7 linked regions of the Cricetulus griseus genome follow. The protein of the gene in region 3 interacts with the protein of the main gene of each other region in a pairwise test. Links are inferred from orthologs where the notes say so. Each region holds a gene or a part of one and is shown on either strand. Other genes may lie near its edges. The genes, in order: Cdc73, Pbx3, Fsd2, Sh2d4a, leukocyte receptor cluster member 1 homolog, Fam107a and Brd8.

Evidence for each region.
Region 1: the proteins of Fsd2 (region 3) and Cdc73 interact in binary tests that used the Homo sapiens proteins (3 or more experiments, as listed by UniProt). The two-hybrid records come from large-scale screens. The link is inferred for Cricetulus griseus from reciprocal best matches to the Homo sapiens genes FSD2 and CDC73.
Region 2: the proteins of Fsd2 (region 3) and Pbx3 interact in a two-hybrid assay, tested with the Homo sapiens proteins (3 studies listed by BioGRID and IntAct). The two-hybrid records come from large-scale screens. The link is inferred for Cricetulus griseus from reciprocal best matches to the Homo sapiens genes FSD2 and PBX3.
Region 4: the proteins of Fsd2 (region 3) and Sh2d4a interact in binary tests that used the Homo sapiens proteins (3 or more experiments, as listed by UniProt). The two-hybrid records come from large-scale screens. The link is inferred for Cricetulus griseus from reciprocal best matches to the Homo sapiens genes FSD2 and SH2D4A.
Region 5: the proteins of Fsd2 (region 3) and leukocyte receptor cluster member 1 homolog interact in binary tests that used the Homo sapiens proteins (3 or more experiments, as listed by UniProt). The two-hybrid records come from large-scale screens. The link is inferred for Cricetulus griseus from reciprocal best matches to the Homo sapiens genes FSD2 and LENG1.
Region 6: the proteins of Fsd2 (region 3) and Fam107a interact in binary tests that used the Homo sapiens proteins (3 or more experiments, as listed by UniProt). The two-hybrid records come from large-scale screens. The link is inferred for Cricetulus griseus from reciprocal best matches to the Homo sapiens genes FSD2 and FAM107A.
Region 7: the proteins of Fsd2 (region 3) and Brd8 interact in binary tests that used the Homo sapiens proteins (3 or more experiments, as listed by UniProt). The two-hybrid records come from large-scale screens. The link is inferred for Cricetulus griseus from reciprocal best matches to the Homo sapiens genes FSD2 and BRD8.

The regions. Positions count from the first base shown.
Region 1 is NC_048598.1:46,725,254-46,729,314, reverse strand, and holds the start of Cdc73 (parafibromin), read right to left. Parts: upstream 2,801-4,061; 5' UTR 2,759-2,800; coding exon 2,628-2,758; intron 1-2,627.
Region 2 is NC_048599.1:146,089,749-146,093,817, reverse strand, and holds the start of Pbx3 (pre-B-cell leukemia transcription factor 3), read left to right. Parts: upstream 1-1,269; 5' UTR 1,270-1,362; coding exon 1,363-1,562; intron 1,563-1,801; exon of another isoform or gene 1,802-1,942; intron 1,943-2,397; coding exon 2,398-2,471; intron 2,472-4,069. Other genes in the region: basic proline-rich protein-like, read left to right, coding at 386-588, 622-1,045. UniProt on the Homo sapiens protein: Transcriptional activator that binds the sequence 5'-ATCAATCAA-3'.
Region 3 is NC_048596.1:115,970,681-115,974,887, reverse strand, and holds the start of Fsd2 (fibronectin type III and SPRY domain-containing protein 2), read right to left. Parts: upstream 2,801-4,207; coding exon 2,168-2,800; intron 1,850-2,167; coding exon 1,754-1,849; intron 1-1,753.
Region 4 is NW_023276806.1:245,098,716-245,102,215, forward strand, and holds part of Sh2d4a (SH2 domain-containing protein 4A), read left to right. Parts: intron 1-2,496; coding exon 2,497-2,717; intron 2,718-3,112; coding exon 3,113-3,205; 3' UTR 3,206-3,500. UniProt on the Homo sapiens protein: Inhibits estrogen-induced cell proliferation by competing with PLCG for binding to ESR1, blocking the effect of estrogen on PLCG and repressing estrogen-induced proliferation. May play a role in T-cell development and function.
Region 5 is NC_048602.1:21,581,544-21,585,546, forward strand, and holds the start of leukocyte receptor cluster member 1 homolog, read right to left. Parts: upstream 2,801-4,003; 5' UTR 2,732-2,800; coding exon 2,600-2,731; intron 757-2,599; coding exon 577-756; intron 96-576; coding exon 1-95. Other genes in the region: Tmc4 (transmembrane channel-like protein 4), read right to left, coding at 3,209-3,277, 3,393-3,471.
Region 6 is NW_023276807.1:166,707,002-166,711,182, forward strand, and holds the start of Fam107a (actin-associated protein FAM107A), read right to left. Parts: upstream 2,801-4,181; coding exon 2,722-2,800; intron 1-2,721. UniProt on the Homo sapiens protein: Stress-inducible actin-binding protein that plays a role in synaptic and cognitive functions by modulating actin filamentous (F-actin) dynamics. Mediates polymerization of globular actin to F-actin. Also binds to, stabilizes and bundles F-actin.
Region 7 is NC_048595.1:202,876,478-202,879,977, forward strand, and holds the end of Brd8 (bromodomain-containing protein 8), read left to right. Parts: intron 1-30; coding exon 31-75; intron 76-1,452; exon of another isoform or gene 1,453-1,809; intron 1,810-2,177; coding exon 2,178-2,237; 3' UTR 2,238-3,079; downstream 3,080-3,500. UniProt on the Homo sapiens protein: May act as a coactivator during transcriptional activation by hormone-activated nuclear receptors (NR). Isoform 2 stimulates transcriptional activation by AR/DHTR, ESR1/NR3A1, RXRA/NR2B1 and THRB/ERBA2.

The sequences.
Region 1 (4,061 bases), on a different chromosome or scaffold from region 3:
AATTCATATTCTATATATACTTTTTTTCTTTTCTATTTTTAAGGCAGGCAAGGTCTCATGTATCCCAGCTGGCCTCAAATCTGCTATACAGCTGAGGGTGCATGTTGTATGTGGTGCTGGAGATCAAATGCAGGAACTCATTCTTGCTAGGCAAGCACTCTACCAACTGGTCTACATCCTCACCCTCACTTTACACATAAATTGAGTTCTGGGCTCTGTCAACAGAGAAAGAAACCCAGCCAGTTGCACAATAAAAAGGATCATTCAGGGAAAACAAACTGCTTAGGGGAGGTATCACCAGGGCTGCACTTACAAAATGAACATCTTATGGTTCTTTCCAAACAAGATACTGCCATACGACATCCTCAACAATATACTGAAAAGTAAACAGGATCAACTTCAAGGGCATGATCCTTGTAACATCTCTCAAACTAGACCAGTGAGTGACACAAAACCAAAATACAATTCTATCTGTGATTAAACAATGTAGTCTTGGGGGTACAAGCTCTCTAATACTAACACATACACAGCTTTCCAATTCTCCCTTCTTCCTCCTGGAAACACCTCCTTTCCAGGTTTCATATCTTAAATACACAGTCCCCTCATACTGGAAGGCTATTCCCCCATTTCACTCAGAATTCTTACCCATTCTTTAAAGTTTATTCATCTATTTGTTCATTTATTCAAGGAAGGGGCTTTGTAGAATGGACACATGTCAAATATATTTCCATGAACTGTTTCTAAATATCCCCCTCCCCTAGACATAAACAACTTTTTTGGTGCAGGGGGGTGGAGGGGATCGAGACAAGCTTTCTGTATAGCCTTGACTGTACTGGAACTCGAGCTTTGTATGAGGCTGGCCTGGAACTCACAGATCCGCCTGCCATAGCCTCCAGAGTGCTGGGATTAAAGATGTGCACTGCCCAGTTTAGAAGTAAACCACAAATAACTGTTCTCGTTAGATCAGCTAGAAACATTTCACATCAACTTAATCTGTTTGGTCTTTTCTACCCAAAATAGGCTAACCTCATGAAAGGCAGGAAGGAATCAGAGTTTTCAGCTTTTTTTCTATTTCTCAAATTAAACTTCTTTATAAAGGTGTTTTTGTTTGAGGTGTTTTTGTTTGTTTGTTGTTTGTGGGGTTTTTTTGGGGGTGGTGGTGTTTGGTTTGGTTTCTCTGTAAAACAGCCCTGGCTGTCCTGGAACTCGCTTTGTAGACCAGTCTGGCCTTGAACTCAAGAGAGCCACCTGCCTCTGCCTCTGCCTCCCGAGTGCTGGGATTAAAGGCTTTCACCACCACACTCAGCTATACCTTGAGTTTTTATAAAGAAAAATATCCATTATAATCCAATTTCTGCGTAATTTATTTGAAAGAGTGAAACACGGTAAACCGGGAATGTCACTTAGTCAACACTTCAAAATGGGAATCAATAGTCAAAAGAAATCTTAAACCGGGCGGTGGTGGCACACACCTTTAATCCCAGCACTCCGGAGGCAGAAGCAGGCTGATCTTTTTGAGTTCGAGACAAACTTGGTCTACAAGTTAGTTCCAGGACAGCCTCTAAAGCCACAGAGAAATCCTCTCTCAAAAAAACAAGAAACAAAAAATAAAAAAAAATCTTAAAATTTTCTAGTTTTTCAATGACCATTCATAAAGTCACTCAATCAAGCAAAAAATTCGTACCAAAATTGACTCCGAGACTCCAATTATCAAAACGAAGCATCAATGACAGTAACAGTAGCATCATTAAAGAGGCCCCAAAGGATTATTAAACTTCATCCTTGGTGATTTCCTGAATGACTTAAATTCGTGCCATGCATACATAGAAATGTTCCCAAACATTTTTTTTTTCTTTAGGGTGCTTTCGGAAAAGCACACAGGATCAGTTTCTCAGACCCGTATGTAAAAAACTCACGGCATTTCACCAGTAACTTTTCTCCCCCAACCAAGTCCTGCTTTCATCTCGAACAGTGATTTTGGCAGACTTTTCCAAACTCTTCCCCAATCTCTTTCTTTCCTGAGCTTCAAGTAGTAGTAGTCTATTCCCCTCTTTATTTTTTTCTTGAAGCGTAGCATCATCCTTCCCCAATTATGAAAAGGGGGGGGGGGGATTGAGGCAGAAAGAAACTAAATTACCCTGGCGCTCCAAGAGCCAGAAGAGAGAGACAGTTGCAACACATGGCAGCCTCTGGGAGAAAAACCAAACTAACAAAAACACTAAGGGTGGCCGCCAGATGCTGTGCTTTGTGCTTCTGCACCTAGGTGCAGGTAGCCGTGCAGAGCGCAGCCCTCCCCGGCGCCGACCACCAGCCAGGACATCCTGGTGGACACCAACTGGGAAAGTCGGAAACTCCCATGGCACCTCTCCCTGTGGCTTCTCCAACACAGCAAAGACTTGACCGCTCGCGAACGCGCTCCCCCGCAAAGTGCAACTTCGGCTCCAGAGAAGAACTTTCCCCCACCATCACCACCACCACCACCACCACCACCCGAGCCCCCCGTTTTCCTCCCATCCCCGAGGGACTCGGGGGGGAGAGGAGAGGGTTAGGGACGAGGTCGCCCGGGGGCGCCGGGGGCGCCGGGCGCTGCCCCGCCACCACTAGGCCACGGGCCACGCCGCACTCACCCCCAAACTACATAGTTGGTCTTCACGTTCTTGGGCCAGGAGAACTCCCCGAAGATCACTTCATCCCCCTTGACCACGATCTCCTTCTTCTGGATGTTGTACTGTCGCAGGACGCTGAGCACGTCCGCCATCTTCGCCCCCCTCGCTGCCGCTGCCGCGCCGCCGCCGCCGCCGCCGCCGCCGCCGCGGGCCCCGGCCACCGCCGTCGCCGCCGCGCCTGCCTCCTCCTTCCCCGTCGCCTCGCCCTCTCCGGCCGCGCCGCCGCCGCCGCCGCCGCCGCCGCCGCCGCTGCCGCCGCCGCCGCCGCCGCCGCCGCCGCGAACCAACAGCCGCCTCACTAACAGCCGTCCGCGTCTACGACAGCAGCACGGGCAGCAGCCACCCAGGCCGCCGAGGACCCCGCGCTATATAAGGCAAGGCCCCGCCGCGGGCTGCCCGCGGAGAACGCCTGACTGACCCACGCTCCGCCAGCCCCGCGGGCCGCCGCCAGGAGGCGGTGCGAGCGGACGAGCCTCCCAGACTCCCGCGGGGCACGCCGCCCGCCGACTCCGGGGAAACGGGGCGAGCGGCCGCGCCGCTCTCAGGTGCGGCGCATTAGCGGAACTGGGCCCGGCTCGGGCTCCACGGCGCGCACTGGGCGAGCGCATAGCTTGCGCTGGGCGACCGGGCGAGCGAGCGAGCGAGGACAGGTGCGCGCGCACCTGCCGGGCGCTTCTGTCCATGGAATCCTAGAGCGCGCGCTGAGTTCTTTGACTCCTCTCCCCCTCCCCCCCCCCCCCCAGGCTTCGCTTTCCTCAATTTGCGGACCATTTAGGTCCCTGTGGTCAGGATAAACTGCTACCGAAAACTGGGGGTGTTGGAATGTAGACGTTTTGTAGTTTAAGTTGAGTTTTGATTAGGGGTGGATTTGCAAAGAGGATGAGACCACTTGGAAAACAGTTCGGGCACCATTTGGGAGCCGCTGGTCTCCTAGCTTGGTTGATGGACGGGATAAAATGAATACTAGAGTAAGCTGAAAGCATCCTAACGCGTCGATGAAGTACAATTACTTGTTAACTCTTCCCCTTCCTTTCTTTGGAAATAACTTTTTCCATCCCCGCAACTTCTCCCGGGTAATGACCAAAAGCCTCAAATGGGTTCAGGTTGTGAAGTGAGGCGGTGATCATTCAGAAACCTCAAACTATGAGTTAATACACTTTCAGACTACGGGATTGGTTTGGTTTGGTTTGGTTTGGTTTCGAGACCGGGTTTCTCCAAGCAGGCCTTGAACTCACAGACATTCATCTGCCTGTGTCTCCTGAATCCTGGGATTAAAAGTGTGTACCACCACTGCTGAGCCTCTTTGGCTGTGACTAGCTTTACATTCTTATCTTCAGACAAGCTTTGTTAGATTATAAACAAAGTATCACCACAGTAGTTAGCGCCCTCGATATT
Region 2 (4,069 bases), on a different chromosome or scaffold from region 3:
CCGCGGGAGGGGCGGGGCTTTGGGATCCTCTTTCCCGGTCTCAGCTCAGGACTTTCGAACGCTCCAATTGGGACAACCCTTTCTTGACTCTGTCCCGCCTCGTTCGGCGTTGAAAGCAAAACGATTGGTCCCGGGCTCGCGGCCTTGTGCCCAGAGGGTACCACCTCTTGACAGGAAGAGCGGGAAAGTGTACCAGGCACTGTCCGAGGCGTGAAGCTCACCTCACGCAATGGGTGACCACGCGGTTGGCTTTGGGGAGACTATCCCGGCCCCCATATACCACCTCCGGATCCCTAGCTGTTAATGATAGGAAAGGAGTAGAAGCCGGGAGGCCCCACTTTGCCGGTCGGGGCTGTCCATCTGCGGAGCGCGGGCGCGACGAGGCATGGGATTCCCGGGCGCGCTCTCTCGCGCCCCACTACCGAGGCCAGAGGGGACGGTCCCAGCCTCGGGGGCGGGGCCTGTGGCGGCGGCGGGAGGTGCAAGGACCAATGAGCGCAGACCCCGCCCCGGAGGCGGGGCATCCGGAGCGCTCCCCCGCCCTCTCGCTGGCCCCCGCCCCTCCCCCCGGCCCTGGCGCCGCAGTGAGTGAGTGGCACTGGCAGCCTGTCAATCCCTCAGCCGAGCGGCCTTCGAGCCCCGGTCCGCGGCGGCTGCTGGCTGGGTGCGCGCTCCCGGAGGTCGGCGGCGACTTCTCCCGCCTCATCCATCTGCTGTCCCCGGCGTGCGCCCGCCGGGCCCTCCATCGGGCTCCGCGCCCCCCGCCGCGTCGACGGCCGCCCCCAAACTTCCTCCTCCGCCCCTCGTCGCCCCGCGGCCCGCCCGTCGGCCTCCTCCCTCCTTCGTCGCCGCCGCGCCGCCGCCGCTCCCTCCCCGGGGCCGGCCGGTGCTCGATCCCGCCAGCTTGAGGCGGCGGCGGGCCGCTGAGGGGAGGGGACCGTCAGGCTGGCGCGGGCCGCGGCGGCGGCGGCCGCGGCGTCCCGACAACTCGGCTAGCGCTGAGGACCAAGTTCGCGGGGCCCGCCCGGCGCGGCGCGGGCGCTGAGGAGGCGGCGCGGCGGCCGCGTGAGGGCAGCGGGCACCGCCGCCCGCCTCCGCCTCGGCCAGTTGCCGCGCGAGCGCGCCGCTTTCCGCCCGCCGCTGTCCTCAGTCTCCGCCGCGGCGGAAGCCGGAGCCGGACGCCGGTCCGCGTCCCCCTCGGTCGCGGCCTCGCCGGGCCGGCCGCCCTCCCCCGCGGGCGGGAGCGCGCGGCCGCCTCCCCTCCCCCTCCCCCTCTTTCTTCTCCTCCCTCGCCACCGCCGCCGCCGCCGCCGCCGCCTCAGCCTTCGCCTCCGCCGCCCGCTCCCGCCCGCGCGCGGCGGGATGGATGATCAATCCAGGATGCTGCAGACTCTGGCCGGGGTGAACCTCGCCGGCCACTCGGTCCAGGGGGGCATGGCTCTGCCGCCTCCCCCTCACGGCCACGAAGGGGCGGACGGCGACGGCAGGAAGCAGGACATCGGCGACATCCTCCACCAGATCATGACCATCACCGACCAGAGCTTGGACGAGGCGCAAGCAAAGTTGGTGTCGTCTCATTAAGCATCTTTTGTGTGTGTACGGGAGCCGGGCTCGGGTCCCGGGTGGCTCCCTGGACCGGGGCCTCAGTGGCGGGCGGGAACTTTCTCCGCCTGCCAGGGCGGGCCTGCCGGGCACTCGCGGTGCCCCCATCGAGCGGGCAAAGTTGCTCTCCGGGCTCGGGACAGCCTCAGTCGGTGCTTCGTCCGTGCCCTGCTGCCCGGCCCCCTCCTCGGATTTAAACCTCCCGCCCGGACTCGTTGCGCTCTGCGTCCCAGCCAGCCCCGGGCCATGCCGCAGAGAAGTGCAACTTTCTCTGCCGGCCCAGACTCACGGCGTCCACTCCCCTCGGCCGGGCCCGGGGTGACCCGCGGCTTCCCCGCAGGTCCGGGTGCGGAGCGCCAAGTTCTCTCTAGGAGGGAGGGCAGCTTTGCAAACTTTGCGGAGCTGTCATCCGCAGATTATCTGGCGGCGGCCGGCCTCCGCGCCCGCTCCCCTGCGGAGCTCTGGCGTGGGGTTCCCCTCCGTGCCGCCCCGGTCCCCGGGGTCCCCGCCGCGATCCCTGGAGCGGAGCCCCCAGCACGGGTCGTCCCTGCGTTCGCCGAGGCTGATGTGTCGGCCCAGCATATGGGTCGCGCTGCTTTTGGGCTGGAGTTCTCACCGCTAGAGCTTGCCTCCAGTCGCGAACTAGTCAACTTGAGTTTTTGTTGACTTCCCGCGGTTCCAAAGAGCTTTTCCACCCCGGGGCCCAGTTTTAAATCTTTGGTCTAACTTAGGAAGTCGCCATATTATTCCAATAGGTGATGCTAACACCTTTGTGTTTTGCTATTTGTTTTTTAGGAAACATGCTCTGAACTGTCACAGAATGAAACCGGCGCTCTTCAGCGTCTTGTGTGAGATCAAAGAGAAAACAGGTAAGACTGCTGCCAGCAGTGGGCCTGGAGATCCCCCTTCCCCCCAGGTGGGGTTAGATCTACTCGTTGGACTCACCAGTTGAGAGCTGCTGCTTTTGGGCACCGCCATCTTTGATCATTCTCTGCTTCCCACCTCCTGATCTTGAGAAAAAAACTGCAATAAATCTGGAGTCTATTTCTCAATTCTGCTTTGATGCAAAATGAAGTATATGTGTGAAAGGGGCTGGTTCGCAGTTCTTTAGGCGGCAGCCCCTGACTGAAGTCAGGGAGGGGGCTCTAGTCAGCCGCCCTCTATTTCTTTTTGCCTTGTTTGTGTAGCAGTTTTTAAAGGGAGCAATGGGAGACTTCCAGGGACCAGGTGCCCGTGAGAGGCATCACCAGAACTTTGTTTTACTTAGACAGCCTTAAGCTTTGGTTCTAGTGGTAGAAGATACAGCAGAACAGACCTCAGTATTATGTCAGTTTTAGGTGGGGAAGATTACTTTTAAGAATTCAGGAAGGAAAATGATGTGCTTAGGCGTATACAATGTATCATACTAATGAGTACTTATATAAAATTGTCTATCTTGCAACTGTTAACAGTTGTAACTGAGTTTCAATATATAAAGAAAAATGTCCACAGATACAGATGAAACAATTTTGATGTTCAAGGCAGGAGTAGATGAGATGATAGGTTTTGCAGACATGCTAGCATGAAAATTGCAGATACATGATTAGGGAAATTTTTGGCAGTTCATTTTGGTTTAATTTTCTTGTCAGATTTTTTCTATTAAAGGTATTTTTACTTTTGACTTAATGGTAAAGCTAAAGTAGAAGTAGGGATATAATTCACATGTGTTAGTTTGTGTTTAGTTATCTTTCCTATATGGCAAGAAACTCCCTTAATTAAGCTTTACCATTAATTTATTTATTGTTGTATGTGTTGGGTGTATCACTTTTTAAAGTTGTTCTTTTGTAAGTTAAGGGAAAGAAGAAAATGTCAAGTCCAGTATATCGCATTTTCCAACTGATGTTGTTTTAATAGTTAAATGTTTGACTTTTTAAATTGAGTTTACAAATAATTGCAAACTGTCTAGAATTGTTAGGCTGGTAGTTGAGTTATACTCTGTTTAAATAGGTACTATTCATATTCCTAAAAGTAATGCAGAGAAGATAATTATTAGTAAATCTTGAAAACTTTATTTGCTTTTCATTCATGCCATGGATTTTTTTTTAATGATAAATTTTTTGGTGATATACTTTTCACTCTGAAAACCACAGTCATTTTAAATTATTGACTTATTGTATGTTGATTTTTTTTTTTAGCTACCTTTAGATTGCCTTGTGATTTAAGATGGTAGATTTTAATCTAACTATAAAGGCATCCAGCATAGAATCTTGGAGACTTTTAATTTGGGAGAATAAAAGTATATAATTCTTAGTATATTATGCTGCTTCATTTCTGAGGGTTTTCTTGCTAGCAGGGCTATACTCCAGTTTGTGCTGACAGCTATGCACTGGGGTATTGATTGTGTTATGAATATTAAAATTGATTCAACTTTATGGCATTATATTGCTAAAGAGAGGGAATTGATACTCTTTTCTAGCAAGAGCCCTCT
Region 3 (4,207 bases):
AGTCAGTGGAAAGGTTACTGGAAACCTCCTACCACTGTTACAATAAACCAATCAGACCAAATAAATAAATCCAGGTTTAATCTGAGCAAAGCATTCCTGGGTGGCCCCAGGAGAAGAGAAAACCAGGAACTAGGAGCTGCATCCAGAGATTGGGATTTTAACATCCTCCAGGGTGGGGCCACCAATGGTAGGTTTTTTAGGGGTAGAGTCTGGACTTAGGTGACTCCAGGGGATGGCCTGCCCTTGGCAACCTGAGGGCAGGGTTTGAAACAGGCTACCAAACATTCCAACCTCTTTGAATAGATATAGAGGCAGGTAGGACTTCCACCTAAACACAACCAAACAAACAAAAAGCCCATCAGGGGCAGGGGTTTAGGGAAGTGGTTCAGTTGGGGCAAAGAGCTTGCCAAGCAAGTATGAAGGCCTGGATTTGGATCTCCAGCACCTATATAAAAAGCCAGGTGCAGTAGTGATCCTATGTAATCCCATCACTGAGGTGACTGGAAACGGGGATCTCCAGGTCTTGCTGGCCAGCCAGGTGAGCCAAATTAGAGAACTCCAATTTCAGTGATAGGCCCAGTCTCAAAAAATAAGGTACAGTGTGGCTGAGGAAGACACCCAAACTTGACCTCTGAGCCTCACATGCATGAGCATACATGTGTATGTACACTTGTATACACAGGTACACACAAACACACATATATGTTCCCCACCACACACCAGCTTCAAGGACAGAAGAAAACTGTTCATTTCACCATCTGGATAGGGCTACCATAGTTTTCATTGTTGGAATTAAAAAAAAATTCTAAACCCCATGCAATTGGCACTTTGATTGGAAATTTTCTGCTTTATTTATCCATATAATAAACATGTATAAACACACTTGCTTTGAAACATCCAGTGTAACAGACCTGGAGATACACACACACCAGCCTCTCCCACCTAGATGACATAGTAAATGTAGTAGGGGATGCAGACAAGTGACCATCACCTCTGTAGCTACCCGGTGTGTGTGTGTATGTGTGTGTGTATGTGTGTGTGTGTGTGTGTGTGTGTGTGTGTGTGTGTGTGTGTGTGTAAAATCTATGGAGAGCTGAAGGGAGGGGACAGGTGACACCTCACATTCTAAGAAATAGGTCTGAGGCACATGCCTTTAATCCCAGGACTCGGAAGGTAGAGGCAGGGGGATCTCTGTAAGTTTGAGGCCAGCCTGGTCTACAAGAGCTAGTTCCAGGACAGCTGGAGCTGAAACACAGAGAAACCCTGTCTGGAAAAACAAAACAAAAAGAAGAAAGAAAAAGAAAAGAAATAGCGGCCGGGTGTTGGTGGCACACGCCTTTAGTCCCAGCACTTGGGAGACAGAGGCAGGTGAATCTCTGTGAGTTCGAGGCTAGCCTGGTCTACAGAGTGAGTTCCAGGACAGCCTCCAAAGCCACAGAGAAACCCCGTCTCAAAAAAAGAAAAGAAATACCATTTGCTTATTGTGGCCACGGATGGAAGCTACACGTGTGATGAAATCACCAAGTAGGTTCTTTTTTAAAAAATATTTATTTATTTATTTATTTATTTATTATGTGTACAGTGTTCTGCCTGCATGTTGCCTGCAGGTCAGAGGAGGGCACCAGATCTCATTACAGATGGTTGTGAGCCACCATGTGGTTTCTGGGAATTGAACTCAGGACCTTTGGAAGAACAAGCAGTGCTCTTAACTTCTGAGCCATCTCTCCAGCCCCAATACCAAGTATGTTCTTACCTCCACTGTAATGAACACCTCCTCCAGGTGGCTAGCAAAATTTTCCATCTCAATGATCTGCTGTTCCAATTTGAACATGTTTTTGTGGATTTCATCCTGTGGAACAGAACAAACAAGGTGTTAATGCTATGTTTGTTTTAATTTTGTTAAATTAAAAAAATATATGTATGGACATTTGCCTGCATGTATGCCTGTATACCATATGTGTGTCTGGTGACCACAGAGGCCAGAAGATAGCATCAGATCCCCTGGGACTACAGTTACAGGTGATTGTGAGCTACCATACTCTTAACGGCTGAGCTATCTCTCCAGTCCCCCATCCCATCCTAGTTGAGGCATTCAGGATGTATTCCCTGCCCACCTCCCTGAGACTCACAAATACTCTCCAGACAAAGATGGAAGGAGACCTGTTACCTTGGCACTTTCCAGTGCTTTGTTGAGTGGTGTTACTTCATGTTCTTTGTGTATTTCAAAATCCTTCTCAACAGTTCTTACTGGAGTTTTGCAAGTGACACAGAAGACATCAGCAGGCTCTTCTTCATCTTCCTCCTCTGGGATGACGTAGCATTCATACTCCTCACTGGCACGGCCATGTGTATACCTGTAGGCTTCCCGAAGGTCTTGGCACTGGCCAGGAAGGCCTTGCCCTCCATAGCCCAGGTCCTCCTCAGCCTCAGCCGCCTCACTGCTAAGCCCCCAGCCTCTCTGATCTCTGGCTGAGTCTTTCCTCCTCATCCCATAAGAAGGATACCCCAGAGTCCCCAGTCTGTGTTCATCAACAAACTCATCCCCTAACTCATGGTCATCTTCAAGTCCATATAAATGGACAAGCTCGTCCACTTCCTTCTGAAGATTCTTACTGTCCACTGTCCCTCTCGGCTCATTGGTCTGTTCAGCCTGGGTTACTTCTCTCCTGATTCTGCTGCTTTCTCCTGGGAAGAGCTGCAGCCTGTCTTCAGAGTCATACAGGTCCATGTGATAAAAGTGGAAGTCTTTGGGGGCTGTTGACCTGCCCAGCCCCGGCTCTTCCCCTGCTTCCTGCTCCATTGATACAGAACAGTCCTTCTCAGACAGTCAGTGGATCCTAGGACAAAGAAGAGATCAACATCAGTTCCCAAGAAGGCTATGGGTTAAGATCTCATCAAAGAAGTTATGGTCGAAGCCTGCATCATGGCAAACAAATTCACCAAACTGTCTGGGCTGGAGGTGACTCACAATTGTTCAACAATCAAGAAAAACACACGGAGACACAGGCTGGCTAGCAAGCAGAGGGAATTGGGACCCTGTTGAAGAAAGGTGCATTGGGGAGTACCACCCTGAAGTGGAGTCACCTGGAAGACCTTGTCTCAATCCTCAGCCCTCACAAAATATGTAAGATGATAAATATCGGTTATTTTAGGTAATCAAGCTGTGGAATAATAGTGTGCATGATACCAGCCTAAAACTAACCTTTCCCTCCTGCTACCATCTCTGCCTCTCTTTTGTTCATATTCAGGCTCTTTCAAAAGATGGGATTGATGATATTGGTCTTTTCCCCATGGCATGTGTATGAGGCTTTCCATGGGGAATGCAGGCACAGATACTATTAAGAGTTATCAGCTTTTAGATTCTTGGGTTTGTATTTAATATTTCTCTGGGTTGCTTTGCCTGGGAATGAGCCAGCATGTGAGGTTCTTTTCTCAACAGTCCTTCTCTTCTTTATTATAAAAGCAAAAATATACTTCCTGTTCATTCTGACTATTACATTGCACAGTGAGATTTCATTGCTTGGGATTCTAATAAAACCTCCAGGAGACTAGACAAAAGGACAATCTGAAGTATAGGTATCGATGCTGACAGTGAGTGACATTAATGAATGGGTAAGAAAAAATTTTTTCAAGGTAAGTGCTTTCCAGCTCTTTGCTTCCCACAAAATTGCAGGAGGATTTAATCAAGTTGTCAGCTGACACACTATTTAAAATAAATGTTCATGATAGGTCATTATGCAATTTTGGCATGTATTTCAGGAAGAACTGTCAGAACGGACTGGCATTGTTATAAATTGCTTCCCTTCCCACCTACTTATGTAGGTGAGCATGGTCACTCTGTGTTTGCATGGACAAAATTTAAAAAAAAAATACAAAATCTCATTCATGTTGCATTTCTAGAATGTGATATTTTCATACTTGGGTATGAATTTTTAAAAAACAAACAAAAAGTCCCATTCACTTTATTAAAAGATGCATTTGGGGGCTGGAGAGGTAGCCCAGTCAGTCAAGTGTCTGCCACACAAGCACAGGGACTGGAGTTCAGATCATTAAAATATGCCTCTTTAATCCAGCACTGGGAGATGGGTGAGGGACAGAGACAGGCAGGTACCTGGAGCTCTTTGATCAGCTAGCCTAACCCGACTGATGAGCTCCAGGTTCAGTGACAGTCTCTGCCTCAAAGAATAAGGGGAAAAGCCATCAATGA
Region 4 (3,500 bases), on a different chromosome or scaffold from region 3:
TAAGCAAACAGGCAGCATGAGACATAGCCCTCAAGGACACTCCTCCAGTTGCTTCCTCCAGCTGGGCTCTACCTCCCAAAGTTTTATAATCTCCCCAAGTGACTCCAGCATCCAGGAACAAAGCATTTGAGACATGAACTGGGGTATGTGGGTGGGGAGGAAGAGGCTATTTCATATCTCAGCTATGGTGAATGTTTATGGTAGACATGAATCAGCAACCTTTCTAAGAGGCACAGCAATAGAGCTGGGGTCTCTGGGAGAGATGCCTTGGGTTGCTTTCCTTTTGGGTGCCGTTTCCCATCTTGGTAGAGGGATCTATCAGCACTTTCCTAACTCCAGTGCTTGATACATGCTCTCATGCGGGGCTTTGTGGTATAGGACCGGGGTCTTCATCTTCCCCAACAGTGATGGGCAAAGAACAGGTAGGAGAAGTGTTGGTGGGTTGACCTTGGCTTGGGGGGAATTCAAATTCCTCCCCCTATTAAAGATCTATTTAGAGATTTTTTTCTTAACTTTGTGCTCTGGGTGACTTAATGAGCTAAAACTTCACTAGCAATTAGAAGGGCTATGAAAACCATTTGATTTTCACCAGGAAGTGTTCTGTTTGTTTCCTTAATAACCAGAACATGAACATCAGCGCAGAGTGAGAGTGGAGGAGGAGGAACCAGGAGCTCCTCTCTGCTGCAAAGCAGAGTGAACTTGAAAAGAACATTGCTCCTCCCTCCCAAATCAGAGCCCACGGGGTGACTCAGCAAGCTGTGCTGTTGATTATTTTCTGTATGTTTACTATGCTGTCTATTCATTTCAAGAATTACAATAGAACTAAGAAGGGAACTTTCGAACGTTGAGTCAAACTCTATGAACCAAGAAATGAGACTGGGAATTCAAGAGACATCTTAATTATACCTCTCATAAAGCCATATATATATATATATATATATATATTATATATATATATATATATATATATATATATGCACTCATGCTGGGCTTTGTGGTATAGGACCGGGTTTTATTCTTCCCCAACAGTGATGGGCAAAGAGCAGGCAGGAGAAGTGTTGGTGGGTTGACCTTGGCTTGGGACATAAGTAAGTTAAGCTCTAGCCTCTCAAAGACCAGTGGATACATACATTGAAGACTAGTTTTATTAGAATTCAGGAGACCTTGTACTGGTATCCAGCACTCAGTAGATCTATCTTCTGGTTCTGTCACTAACTTGCAGGGCTTCCTAGACCAGGCTGTTTCAACTTTAGCACCGTTGATGCTTTGTGCTGGATAATTTTTACAGTACTTGACTGTTTTGTGTATGTTCAGTAGCACCCCTTGCCTCTACCCCATGAATACAAGTACCACCCACACCCACAACAACTGCACCAGTTACTTCTTACATCACTGTGAACACATCGGACAGTAAGAACATAAGACAGAGAAGATTTATTTGATTCCATGGCAAAGAAACACTGGCAGTGGGAACAAGGGGAAGGTTCTTCACATCATTGCAGACCAGGAAACACTTCACATCATATTGGATCAGGAAGTGGAGAAAAGAGAATTCTAGCCCTCAACTAGCCTTCTTTCTCCTCTTTTCCATCTCATCTACTAGCCAATGGGATGATGTTACCCACATTCAAGGTGGGTCTCTCCCCTTCAGTTCATTCTCTGTGCAAACCACATTAATTTCACAACACATGTGATTTGTCTCCTTTGTGAGCTACTGTTTTAGAGCAAGTCATGTCACTTCCCAGACCTGAGTCCTCACTGACCGACAGTGGTGGCCCTATAAGAGCATCTGAAGTTCATTCGGATCTGACCAATTACCCTCAAGATAATATACCAGATTGTCATAAGTGGTAGACAGCTTGTGTCAATGCAAATGGGTCTCTAAGTGAAACTATTTGTAAATACAGTTCTTTTACTATGTGTCCTAGTTTGCTTCTCTGTTGCTATGATTAAAACACTGACCAAAAGCAACTTGGGGAAGAAAGGGCTTATTCCAGCTTGGAACTCCCAAATTTCAACACATCAAGGGAAGGCAAGCAGGAACTTATGGCAGGAATCTGGAAGCAGAAACTGAAGCAGGAGCCAAGGAGCAATGCTGCTTACTGGCTTGCTCAGTTTGGTTCTGTATACAACTCAGGACTACCTGCCAGGGGTGGCACCACCCAAAGAGGCCTGGACCCTCCTGCATCAATCATTACTCAAGAAAATGTCCCCACAGACCAGCTTGATGGCAGATATTCTTCAACTGAGAGGTCCTTCTTCCAATGTGACCCTATCTTGTGTCAAGCTGACAAACTCTCTGTTTTGCGTTTGTCTAGTTATCAAATACCAAGGGGATTGTTTGTTTGTTTGTTTGTTTTACTGATTCCCAAGGACCGCAAAATACACATGGAACAGCTCTGCCTGTCACCAAACTCTATTCATACAGTGAGGGGCAACACAGGAATGGCTTACAGGTACTTTGCTAAAATGACTTTTCTTTCCCCCTTCCCACAGGGATTCTCACACTAAAGAAAGCAAATGACCTTCTGAGCACAGGTGTGCCAGGAAGTTTTCTGATCCGAGTCAGTGAAAAGATCAAGGGCTATGCCCTGTCCTACCTGTCTGAGGAGGGCTGCAAACATTTCCTCATAGACGCATCTGCCGACTCTTACAGCTTCCTGGGTGTGGACCAGCTGCAGCATGCCACCCTGGCAGATTTGGTGGAATATCACAAGGTGAAGCCACTCATATGCTTAATTTGTCTTGGGAATTATTGTCCTATAGATATATAACAAAGAGGGGCATGGCTAGGGATATTGCTCAAAAGCAAGCAATGGGAGGGGCAGCATATAATTCCCCCTGTCCTTTATCACATCCTCCTGACACACTCAGAGATATCCCACTGGATCTGAGAATACTGGAGATGCACATACTGGTCACATGTGTGAATGGTCCCATGCTAGAACTTGGACTCTAGCAGGAAAGGGAAGCTGCCAGAAGGAAATTGCTATTAAGGTTGTCAAAAGCCAACATATGTTTGCACAAGCCTAGAGTAAAGGGGTGATATCCTGAGGAGGTAGAAGGGCATCTACCACACAGCTGCTACATGACCCTGTGCTTTGATTGACAGGAAGAGCCCATAACCTCCCTGGGGAAGGAACTCCTGCTGTACCCCTGTGGTCAACAAGACAAGCTACCAGACTACCTGGAGCTCTTTGAGTAACAGCTCTAGTCAAGATCAGCCTTCAGCCAGGTTTTCCTCTGGACAGACACCTCGGAGGTGGACAGTTGCCTGTGATGCCAAAATCACTCTGTGACAGAGCCAACAGTGAAGAATGCCTTTGAGGTTAATTGAAACCTTGATTCTGCATAAAAGCTGGAGTTCAAGTCAAGGGGATACATCCTCTCCCCATCCTCATTCTGAAAGGAAAAGGGAGAAGTGTACTCATTTCAGTAACATCCTAATATGAAGAATAGGACCTTGAAGGATATGACCATCATGTTGTATATAAGATAAA
Region 5 (4,003 bases), on a different chromosome or scaffold from region 3:
CTTGGGGGGAGCTGGTACCAAGGAGGTTGCGTTTGAGCCTCTGCTGCGCTCTGGCCCAAATACGTCAGGATGCCTAGTGCTTTCTCTTGCCTCTCCTGTGGGGGCAAGAAAACAAAATAGTCTTCCCAAGTCCCTCTGGGAGCCCTAGATATGGCATGTGGCAGTAGGGAAACCCAGGGCCTGAGTTCCCAGTGAGGCAGGGGCTGGTGGGTATTCAACAAGGGAAATCACAGACCAGGGGCCAGCTACGCAAAAGTGCTGATGGCTAATCTGCAGGGGGCGTCTAAGGAAAAACTGCAGCAAAGCAGAGGAGTGGTTTCAGTGGGATGCAGGAGAGCCACAGTACAGTTCACAATGTGAGAAGCACAAGCGCCATCTGGCGACAGATGCTGACGACTAGCATTCAGGAGGCCAGCGCCGGAGGGGGTTGTGAGCTGGAGGACAGCCTGTCTGTGTAGTTGAGGTGTCATCTCAAAATAAACTAGCTAAGGTTAACATAAGAAACAGCTGTTAGTCACAGCTGGTAGCGCCCCACCCCACCCCACCGAAATCAGCCAACAGAGGCCAGCAGCTTACCTTCTCCTGTCGCTTCTCTTCTTCATGCTCTTTATTGCCTCTGGGCACTCCTTTCCCTTCTTCCAGCAGCTCCCTAAACAGGTCCACAGGGCCAGAACTTGGAGCGCCTGCCTCTGCTGCTTCCAGCTCAGGGCGTGAGTTCTGGTGCCTGGCTTTCTTCCGTAGGAATTCTGTTCGGGCCTGTGAAGAAAGTTATAGGCAGGACATTCAGAACGTAGAAGTGCTGGGGGCTCCAAGGAAGGGCCATGAGCCGGCTGGTGGTGACACACGCCTCTAATCCCAGCACTCAGGAGGAAGAAAGAGGCAGGTGGATTTCTGTGGGTTCGAGGCCAGCCTGTCTACAGAGTCCAGGGCAGGCAAGGCTACATAGAGAGAAGCTATCTGGAAAAAGGTTTAAAAAAAAAAAAAAATTGTGTGGGGGGGGCGGGGGTAGAGGTACTGGGAGCCAGAAAAGACACCATTTCTAATTTGAAGTGGAGAATGGGGTTTTTGTTTGGTTTGGCTTTTGAGATAAGGTTTCTCTGTAAAACAGTCCTGGCTGTCCTGGAACTCAGTCTGTAGACCAGGCTGGCCTCCAACTCACAGAGAATCTGCCTGCCTCTACCTCCCAAGTGCTGGGATTCAAGGCATGCGACACCACCACCCGACGAGAATGGTTGTTTTTAAACAGTTAACTGGATTACCAGGGATATTTGGGGAGATCCCAGCCTAAAACAGAAGGGTTTCCACAGCCTGGAGTCATGCAAGAAAAACAGCTATCAAAAACCACTCAGCTAGGGGCTGGAGAGATGGCTCAGCGGTGAAGAGCACTGACTGTTCTTCCAGAGGACCTGAGTTCAATTCCTGACAACCACCTTGAATGAGATCTGGTGCCCTCTGCTGGCATGTGGGCAGAAGACTGTATACATAATAAATAAAATCTAAAAAAACAAAAACTACTCAGCTATAAGGTATAGAGGTGGCTTGTTCACCCATAGAGCCCCTGCTTAGTGTATGCCCAGCACACACATGTACAAACTCCCAAATACAGCTTATTAGGAAGCCAAACACAGTTTCTGGACAAAAGATCTGAACCCCAGGTGTGGCTCCAGGTCAGCATCCCAAACACATTAGTGATGGCCCGTGTCACTCCCATCCCAGGTAGGTTCTGCATTGCCACCAACGCCCGGCTACTTCCGAAATTTTAAATACCCACACTACTTCATGATCAGATTGGCCAAGGGACTTAATTGTAAACTAACATGATTGAGTAATTACTAACGCCTGTGCATGCATGCGTGGTCTTCAATCCCACATTCAGGAGGCAGAGGCAAGAGATCTCAGAGCTCGAGACCAACCTGGTCTACATAGCCAGTTCCAGGGCAGCCCGGGCTACATAGACCCTGTTTCAAAGAAAGCCTCTTTGGTGGCGCACGCCTTTAATCCCAGCACTCGGGAGGCAGAGGCAGGGGCAGGGGGATCTCTGTGAGTTCGAGCCCTGTCTCCAGAGTGAGTGCCAGGACAGCCTCCAAAGCAATACAGAGAAACCCCTGTGTCGAAAAATAAAAACAAACAAACAAAAAACCGAAAGAAAGAAGAAAAAAAAGAGAGAGAGAGAGCAAGCCAGCCTCTGGGTGTGTTTGGGGGAGCAATGGTGGAGAAAGAAGAGGTCTAACGGAGTGCACTCCGGCTTGCCCGCCCTTTGCCCTCCTCGTTGAAGCCTTTGCAACTCCAAGTCGCTCTAAGAGGGTCGTGTCAAGTCTAGCGCTCTGCAGGAGGGGGGGCACGCATACAGTGGGTGCTCAGTAATTAACTTGTGCGGACGATCTCCAAAGTGATCGGGGCAGCCGTCCCACTCCGACGTGCTAGCCTGCGGTCACTTCAGCCACACCAGGGGGGGGGGGGGAAGGGGATCCAGGACGGTTTCGCGCAAGTCAGCAAAGGATTTGCGGAGAAGCGTCAGCAAGCACAGACCCGCGGCTGCCACCGAGTCACCCACCGACCCAGCGAGGCCCGCCTCGCTTCCGGGCCAGCCCAGGCTCACCTCCTGCTGGGCGAGCAGCACCCTCCGCTCACGCTCCTTCTCCTCCTCCCGCGCCCGGGCCTCATCGCGCCGCACGCGGGCGACGTTGTCCTTGTTTCGGACGTGCCAGCTCTTCTTGGGCAAGATATTCATGGTCCCCCCGCCGACCTCCGAGCCAGCGGGCCCCCGACTCCCACACTTCCGATTGGCGCGAGGGTGCCCCCGCCCCGTGGCCCCACCCTCGCCTGTGCATTGGTTCCCGGCCAGACGCCACGCCCACTTATGACCCTATCCAGGGGTGATTGGCTAAGAGGCCCTCCATCACAGCCAATCCCAAACGTTTGCCACCCCCGGGTCGCTCCACCCCGGACGCCGCCGTGTAGGGCTGATGCTGCCCCGCCTTGTCTAGCCCTCTGCTCGCAGACACAACCCGGGACCCGGATCAGGCCCCTCCCTAAACCCTGTCCCCAGCTTCAGGACCCGGCTTCAAAATGCAAAGCTGTTGTTTATTAATAACGGTGCAACTGAGAGTGTGGCACTGGGGTGGGTGGGGTGGGGTGGGGTGCGGAGGACTCGATCCAGAGACCACAGGGTACCAGATAGGGAGGTGTAACCACGGGTCTCGGGTGGTCAGATGGCTCCGTTCGCTGAGCTCAGAGCCACAGCTCGCTGGGCTAGGAAGACTTTATTCTTCGCTTCCTGAGGGCAAGAAAAAAGAAAGGGGGTGGAAGTGAGGCAGGCCTACTCTACACCCTACACCCGAGTCCTTCCCAGGTTCCCAGGGGGCCCTGGCCGGGGAAGCACCATGGCTCACCGTCTCTATCTGGCGTTTGAGCTCGGAAATGAGGCGTCCGTAAGAGTTAGCCAGGGCTATTGTAAACACCATCAGGATGCTAAGGAAGACAGGGATGAAAGTTACTTCAGAAAAATAAAATAAATACACACACACACACACACACACACCCCTTCATCATATGGCTCCTTAGAAACCAGGATCACGCCCGGTGCTGGTGGCACACACCTTTAATCCCAGCCCTAAGGGAGGCAGAGGCAGGCGGATCTCTGTGAGTTCGAGACCACCCTGGTCTACAAGAGGGAGTGCCAGGACAATCTCCAAAGCCACAGAGAAACCCTGTCTCGAACCCCCCCCCAAAAAAGAAACCAGGATCAGGACCCCCAAGGGCCACTGGCTTCTGCTTCAGACCAGGAGGAGTCCATACCTCTGCCCTCCTCCCTCTGACCAGGGGTCTAGACTGCAGACCTCCTTTAGACCCAGTGTTCAAACCCAGACTTCTTTTCCTTAGACCCGGGAATCCAGACCCCAAACCAGATCTAGGGAGACCCCAGTTGTCTTCCATGCCATAGGTACCCAGGCAGCAGCCCTCCTCTCTAGCAGCCCCCAACCCCCCAACACTAAACCACACA
Region 6 (4,181 bases), on a different chromosome or scaffold from region 3:
GAGTTCTTTTTCCAAAAACTGGCTCTTAACCCATTGCCATTGGCATGGTGAATTTGGTCTCTAAGAGTGATCTTACCCCTATTTCATTTTCCTATCAGTGAGACAAACCAGGATATATTCTGTTGTTCCCTCCCTTTCCCGTGCCTCCCAGGTGTATGTATGTGTGATGGGAAGATCATAGAAAGCCATCTAACTTCAGAAAGCCCATGGTTGCAGGCCTGGGGGAAGGGTGGGGGAAAGCAGCACTCCTAGAATTTAATTCAGATAAACAATGGATTTTTTTGTTTTGTTTGTACAAGCACATCCATTTTATCTTTGGAGCTACTTGCAATAAACTCTTCTTTGTTGTTTATGTGAGGTTCAAATTGCACCAGGGTTCAGGTCTTTTTGTTGTTTGTTTGTTTGTTTGTTTGTTTGTAATGTTCCTTGGCAATAGTAGTGGAATGGAGGTTTTACTGCCCCCTGGTGGCTAACAAGGAGTACAGACCTGGGGAGGTACCAGGATGCAGACAGAAGCCTTTCTCCCCAGGGTGAAAGTAATACTTGCCTGGTAGACTTTTATGGAAGGACAATAGCTTTCCAGGTATGACTGAGCATGAGTTATATCACAGAGTGAGTTCTTCCAGTCAGGGGGCTATGAGTATCTGTGCCAACCCAGGCACCAACATTGGATGGACTGCTGTACAGCTAGGAGACCTTCAACATGCCTTCCTCATCTCTATAACTGGGCAGTTGTTCTGAAGAATGGAGGACATAGGCATGGCAACCTCAGCCCCAGAGCTGGGCCACCTGCCTAAGTGATGCTATTACATCATGTAACAGCATTAAAGTTCCCACTGAAGTGAAAAAACTGGAAATTCAGTATGAAACAAATGTACAGGTAAACTATTCCTGGGATAAACTAGAAGGCAACATCCTTAAGTGTAACTATCAGGTGTTTGTAGCTAGTAGGATTATGGGGTAAGTCCTGCCCCTTTGATCTATGGATGCAAGCATCACTATATTGCAGAGATGGGAACAATTGTCACTCTTTGTCTAAATCAGTGATTCTCAGCCTTCCTTTAATACAATCTCTCAGTTGTGGTGACCCCCCAACCATAAAATTATTTCATTGCTACTTCACAACCATAATTTTGCTAGTTATAAATCGTAATGTAAATATCTGATATGCAGGATATCTGGTATGTGACCCCTGTGGAACCCCAAACAAGTTGAGAACCACGGATCTAATCATACTTTGGAGAGGTAGCTCTGAGTTTGAAAGTGTTTTCTGTCTCTGGGGAGGGTGGAAACCTCCTTAGCAGACTATGGGCTGCTGTTGCAGCTCTGTGGAACTGTCACCTTATTCACTAAAGGGAGAGGATGATTAGTGCGACCTGGCAGAACTGGGAAGGTGGAACTAAACATTTGATGTTTCTAGTGCTTACTCTATCAGTAAGCACTCAGCCCTCAGGGAGGCCTCAGGGAGACAAGCCTGTGACTCGGGAGCTCTGACTTGTCTGCTGTGTAGATGCACCAAAAGTTGAGAAAAACATTCACAGCTAGAGAAAACTCAGGGTCTTTCGGGTTAGGGAACCTTGCTGCCCGCTTTAGGAGAACGGGCACCTCAACACGGAACTTTGAAATCTGATTCTTCTATTGGGGGTTGCTGGCTTTATGCAGGCAAGGAAGCCCCCAGGAAGCCATTGTTGGTTTTGAATCCTTGGTAAGTTATTGTTTGGGGACTTAAGAGAACCCTTGTTCAAATGTTCACAACCAGTAACTAGGCGGCAATATCTCAGTCGGCAGGGGCGGGAGTTGGGGGTGGGGTCGGGGTGGTGCAGGGCAGCAACTCTGATCCCTAAGCTGTAGGCGGACCCAACGGCGCCTTGGACCCAGTCTGCCGACTCTTGGCTGAGACCCATTCCTTGCAGAGAAGGCTGCTGGTCAGGGAGCCAAATCCGTTGACACTTTCAAATCACTTTTACCGTTCCCCAAACCCCCTCCCTGAGTTCAGCTCCAGAAGGAAACATCCTAAGCCCTCATCAAGGGCATTTTCTCCCTTTTTTCTATATCTCGATGTTTTCCCAAACTATTTTTATGCTGACCATATATTCATTTATTTTATTATTTGGCTAAAAGGCCTTTAAAGTTTCCTGAGTAGAAAATACAGTGCTTCTCCGCACATAAGAAAACAAAAAGTTTAGAGATGAACACCTGCCATCCAACCACATCCACAACATCCAAAAGACCGCCATATGCCTCCTTCCCAATTTTTTGCACGCCCACATTTAGCAAATGCCTTATGAGCTGCCTGACCCATGCTGTCCCCTCATCATGGGCAACCGTGGTGGCCAAGACTCAGGGCTTTCTTCCTCCGTGGAATTCCTTCCTGCTTGGCTGTCAGACCTCCCTCCCTCCCTGACTGCCAGTGCACGCTCTTGGGAACACTGCCAGGTACTAACCCCGACAGGGACCTCGCGGAACCCCTGCAGGCAGGATGTGGAGTGGAAGCACAAGTTTGCATTTGTGCATGCTCATGTGTTTCCTCACTCAGGATGAGGGCAAAGGATGGAAGGAAAAAATGAGAAAAAAATAAAGGAAGGACAGAGCAAAGAGTGATGGAGAAACGTCAAAGCTTTGAGATGATGGGAACCAAAAAACCTGGGCACCAAGAAAGGAAGAACCAGGACCCTGCAGTCTGCAGAGGGTGGTCCCGGCGGCGACGTGGTTTCCACTTACCCGACCTGAGCAGCATCGCCCGGTACAGCCCGGTGGCTTCAGCGGGTGCCTTGCCCCACTCGCCCAGCTTCTGCGCCATGCCTTGAGCTGAGTGTCCCGATCGCAGAGTCTGGACTGGGGGCCTGAGCAGCGTCTCAGTGATAGTGAAGCCCTGCTGCTCCACCCGCCCAGGGATCCGGTTACCTTAGGCTTCTGAGACACAGCGGTGGTGTAAGACCGCTGGGAGCACAGGCAGTCTCTGTGCCCGGAGCAGTCAGGGCGCAGCGGGCGTCTGGACACCCTTGCAGCATCACATGGAGCACGGCCCGGCTTCCTTCCAGCCTGGCCTCTTGCCTACCTGGCCCAGTTCTTGGCCTCTGGCCTCTGTGAAGGCTACAAGCAGGTATGGGATTCGGGAGCGCCATTCCTGGGATCCATTCCCAGCCAGGCTGGTGAAAAGAAGCCCAGGGTCCTCTTCTGAGATGAGTGGAGAACGATAGTCCTTCACCCACAGGGTTACTAAGGTGAGGCTTGGCAGGGGTATACATGAAGTGCTAAGAACCCGGCAGTTCGGAGCAAACACTATGCATCTGTACTTTTGACTCGTGGTCTGAGGATGTTGCTCAGTTAGTTGGTAGAGGGCTTGAACGAAGCCTGGGCTTCATTATGCAGCATAGCACAAAAGCTGGGATGGTGGTGCACACCTGTAATCCTAGAGTTTAGGAAGTGGAGGTAGGAGGATCAGGAGTTCAAGGTCATCCTCAGCTACATTGCTAGTTTGAGACCAGACTGGGCTATGTGAGAGTTGTCTCAAAACACAAGCAAGTAAACAAACACACGGCAAAGATTCAAGAAGTACAGAGAAGCAGTGTCTTTGTTGCAGTAGAGAGAAGATGAAGGGGAAAGTTGGTAGGACGCCACAAGAACGATTTCTCTGGCTTTCTGGTGTCCCTTAAACAGCCAGAGGGGAAGACTGAGGGTGCATCAAGCAGTTTTGGAATATGCAGATGTCTACAGCTTTGGTTACCTGCTCTGCCTGCATTGGGCTACAGTGCATCTAAAACAAGAGAGTATAAATTATGCACTCTTTGCGTTCCAGTTCATTTAGTCTTTACAAAGTTGGGTCTCTTGGCATTCTGATTTTACAAAGGAGTGGAAACGGAAGCCCAGAGAGTCTAACCTACTGCTCTGAAGTCACTCATCATGGAGCTAGGGCACAAATTCAGATGGTCTGACCCCAGACACTGATTCTGCTCCACTGCCTCTGTCATTGAAGTCACTCTTCAAGGCAGTCCTAAAGGCTGAGTCTTACCTCCAGTGTAGAGATGAAGTCTCTGAGACTTGGCAGGTGAAATGACTTGTCCATACTTACATACTTAGAATGCAGCCAGTTAGGGATCCATGAAATTAGTATCTGAAAAACATGGGCACTGTCTAGGGCATTGGACGGTTCCAGGCTGTGCCTGGGTGGGCCAAGAAAT
Region 7 (3,500 bases), on a different chromosome or scaffold from region 3:
CCTGATCAGTATTTGTTTGTCCTCTAACAGGACAGTGTCCCCATGGGCTCTCCTGCCTTCCTTCTCTCTCTCTTTGTAAGTATTGAATGGCTGCAAGGGGTGATGTTGCCAGAAAAATTCTCAACTCCTGCTGGGCCTGGGTGGCAGAGGGAAATCCAACATGCAGACTGTGGCAGTGTCTTGAAATTCTTTTTATCCATTGAATAAGAAATTCTTTTCTTCTGCATTCTGGTCTCTTTGCATGTGTGTGTATGTGTGTGTGTCAGAGGGAGGGGGCTGGGGGAACTGCTGTAAGATCACTGCACTGAAATATGAAGTGTTCTTGGGGTAAAGACCTAGGATGCACCTGCTCCTCATTTCTTGCTTCCACCTTTTACCAGTTCTTATGAGTGGAAGATAGCTCAGAGCAGCACCTGCTGCTTGGCTTTTTAGCAGTATTGGTAGATATTTAACACACACCTTTCCACTTCCTCCTAACTAAATTGAGAGACTCCACAGATAAACCCTCACTAAAAATTAAGCTGGTAAAGGTACTTGCCATGGGAGTGACCTGAGTTTGACCCACAGACCCCAATGAGAGTGGAAGGAGAGAGCTGACTCCACAGAGTTGCCCTCTGAACTCCACATGTGCAGCATGGCACGTGTGCTCCTACACAGACCTCACACGCAGGAGTGGTAATGTTTTTAAAGACTTTTTAAAGATCTCAGTAGCAGTGACTACTGGATGCAATAATAGCTGGTGAGATTATAGATAAACATAATAGATCTAGCCAAAAGGCTTTTATTCTTTTGCTCCATAAATTAAATGACTGATTCTGTTCATGGTAGAGCAGTGAAGTAAGGGACAAAACATGCTGAAAACTACATGGTCTTAAGATCATTAGCTAACCTTAATTTTCTCCTCTATGTGATAGAAGTAATAATGAGTTGAGGGCCAGGAGGATTGCCCGCAGGATCACTGCATGCCTAGGCTGTGGAGTAAGACCCTGTCTCAAAAAAAAAAAAAAAAAAAAAAGCAGGAGGGAGTACTAGAGAGAGGCACAGAAGTTAAGAACACTTGATGCTCTTGGAGAGGATCTGGGTTGGGTTTCCAGCAACCACATGGTGGCTCACAACTGTCTGTAATTCCAGTTTCAAGGAACCCAAAGCCCTTTTCCAGCCTCTGCAGGCACTGCACACTTGTGGTGCAAGTATACACATACAGGCAAAACATTCATACACATTAAATGAAAATAAGTCTTTAAAAAAAAAAAAAAAGAAGACAAAAGAAAGAGTAAGATTGAGGTACCTGTCCAGCCTACCTCACAGGGATGTTGTGAGGATAAAATAAGTTATAAAATTAACTTGAAAAAAACTATTAAAACGTTACACAAATGCAAGGTGTTATTTCTATTCTTACTGTTGGCTGTTGGCAACTTATGTTCTAAAAATTTTTTAATCCTTGCATATTAGAAATACAGAAATGGTCCGGCCCAGCAGAACTGTTCACTAGTTCATCTTGCCTGTAGACCTGTACCACAAAGAGAACACTGTGATCTCTATTCTTTCTTATTGGCCTGCAACAGTGACTCTGGATCCTCATTCAAGTGGCTGGCTATTGCAAGGCCGGTTAATAAGATCTTTTATCTATGGAAGACAGCAAAGTTTTGCACAAGAGGAAGGAGCTGGGCTACAGGGAGAGAGCAGCAGATGGAAAGAAGCCTGATTGTCCTGATGTCATGGAAAACAACTGTCAGGAGGTGCTAGGGAACTAGTGCCAGGGTCAGTCTGCAGGAAAGGCCTTTCTTATAGGGACCAGCAACTGGACAGGTATGTTAGCCAAGAGCTTCACTACCCTTTCTGCCTCTCCCACCTTTCACTTTCTCTTCCTGTTCTTTACACACAGTGTGGACCTGGGTGGGATGACTGGTAGTCATTCTGTGGGACCTCAGATGAATTTCAAAGACCCTTTGTATTGGCATGAAAAAAATGCTAGTCTTAATAGTTACACTCACAAAATGTCAGGTGTTCTTTTAGCTACTCTGTGGGAAAACAAAGTCCCTTCCACTTCATACCTTTGGTATTCTCTGTAGATTCTTTCCCCCAAGAAATCAAATTCCCAGCATTCCTATTGTATGTTGTCTCTTAACAGGTAACCAACTCACTCATGTTTCTTTCCTTTCTTTGATGTTGTTTAGGATGGGGGAACCAGGGGACGCCGCTGTGCCATTGAAGCAGATATGAAAATGAAGAAGTGAAGCCTCAGAGTTCCCTCTTTGAGCTGAACCTGAAATAGAAATAAACAAGATATAGCTTGGGCTTGTGGGCTCAGGTCTACACTTGATCTTAGTCAAAAGGCTGAGAAGCAGTATGGGCCCAGAAGAGAAGGTTCCTGGGTCAAATGACATGAGTTGAGAAAAATCTCTTTTCAGAGAGTTGGAGTAGCACAGTTGCCCGTTTTAGGGCAAAAATCATGGGCTGTGTTAGTGCCCTAATGTGTAGCTAGAAGATTGTAGCTTATTTGTATTATCTTGTGAAGTGTACAGACTTTTTAAAAAAATAAACCTGTGACGTGTGTGTATATAACAAATAGAAGGAAAACTTTGGCCTTTGGTGTGTGTCCTTTGTGTTTGAAATGTGTTTTCTTCACCATACCTAATCATATATGGGGATAAGATTGTTAGAGCTGAGAAGTGGTCTTATAAGCTGTCTGCTGCAACTGAGAAGAGGTGAGTAACCAAGACTGAATTCATAATTGTGTGAATTAAGTGTGCAATAAGGGCTATTGGGGTTTTCTTGAATGTTTGGGAAACGTTAAGGTTTTCAGGATCTAGTTCATATATAATTCCACAGGGATTAGAGTATGGACAAAGGTGGCAGAATATTGTCAGGAATGTTTTGTGCCAGGACTGACAGCAAATGCTATCAGTATTTCTATAGGTAGAACTCTTGTACAATATTCTTTTGTTTTTTGAGGTGGAGTCTCTGTATTTTGACAAGGCTAGAGCTCAAAATCCTCCAATTTCAACTTCCCCCGTAGCTTGGATTACAGGTGCATGTACCACATTGGGCTAAGTGATTTAAAAAAAAAAAAAAAAAACAAAACAAAACCATGCACACACAAAAAAACTTATTGTTAAATTTATTTATTTATGTAAAGGTTTATCTCTGAGAGTTGGGAAGTTTAGGGCTGGGAATGTGTTTTGATAGTATAGTGGTGCAGCTCTCAGCTAGTGTTCTTGGCAATCTCCAGTGCTGGGGGAAGGAAATCACTGGAAAACAACATGGTGGCACATACCAGTAATCCCAGCACTTGGGAAACTGAGGCAAGGGGATAACTGACTGTTTGAGGCCAGCCTAGGCTTCAGAGGGAGACCTTGTCTCAATTGGTGGGGCTTGTGTGATGTCTCAGTGGGTTCAGGTGCCTGCTACCATGCCTGACTACCTGACTTTGGTCACTGAAACTCATACGGTGGGAGGAAAGAACTGACTCCTGCAAGTTGTGCTGTGACCTCCACATA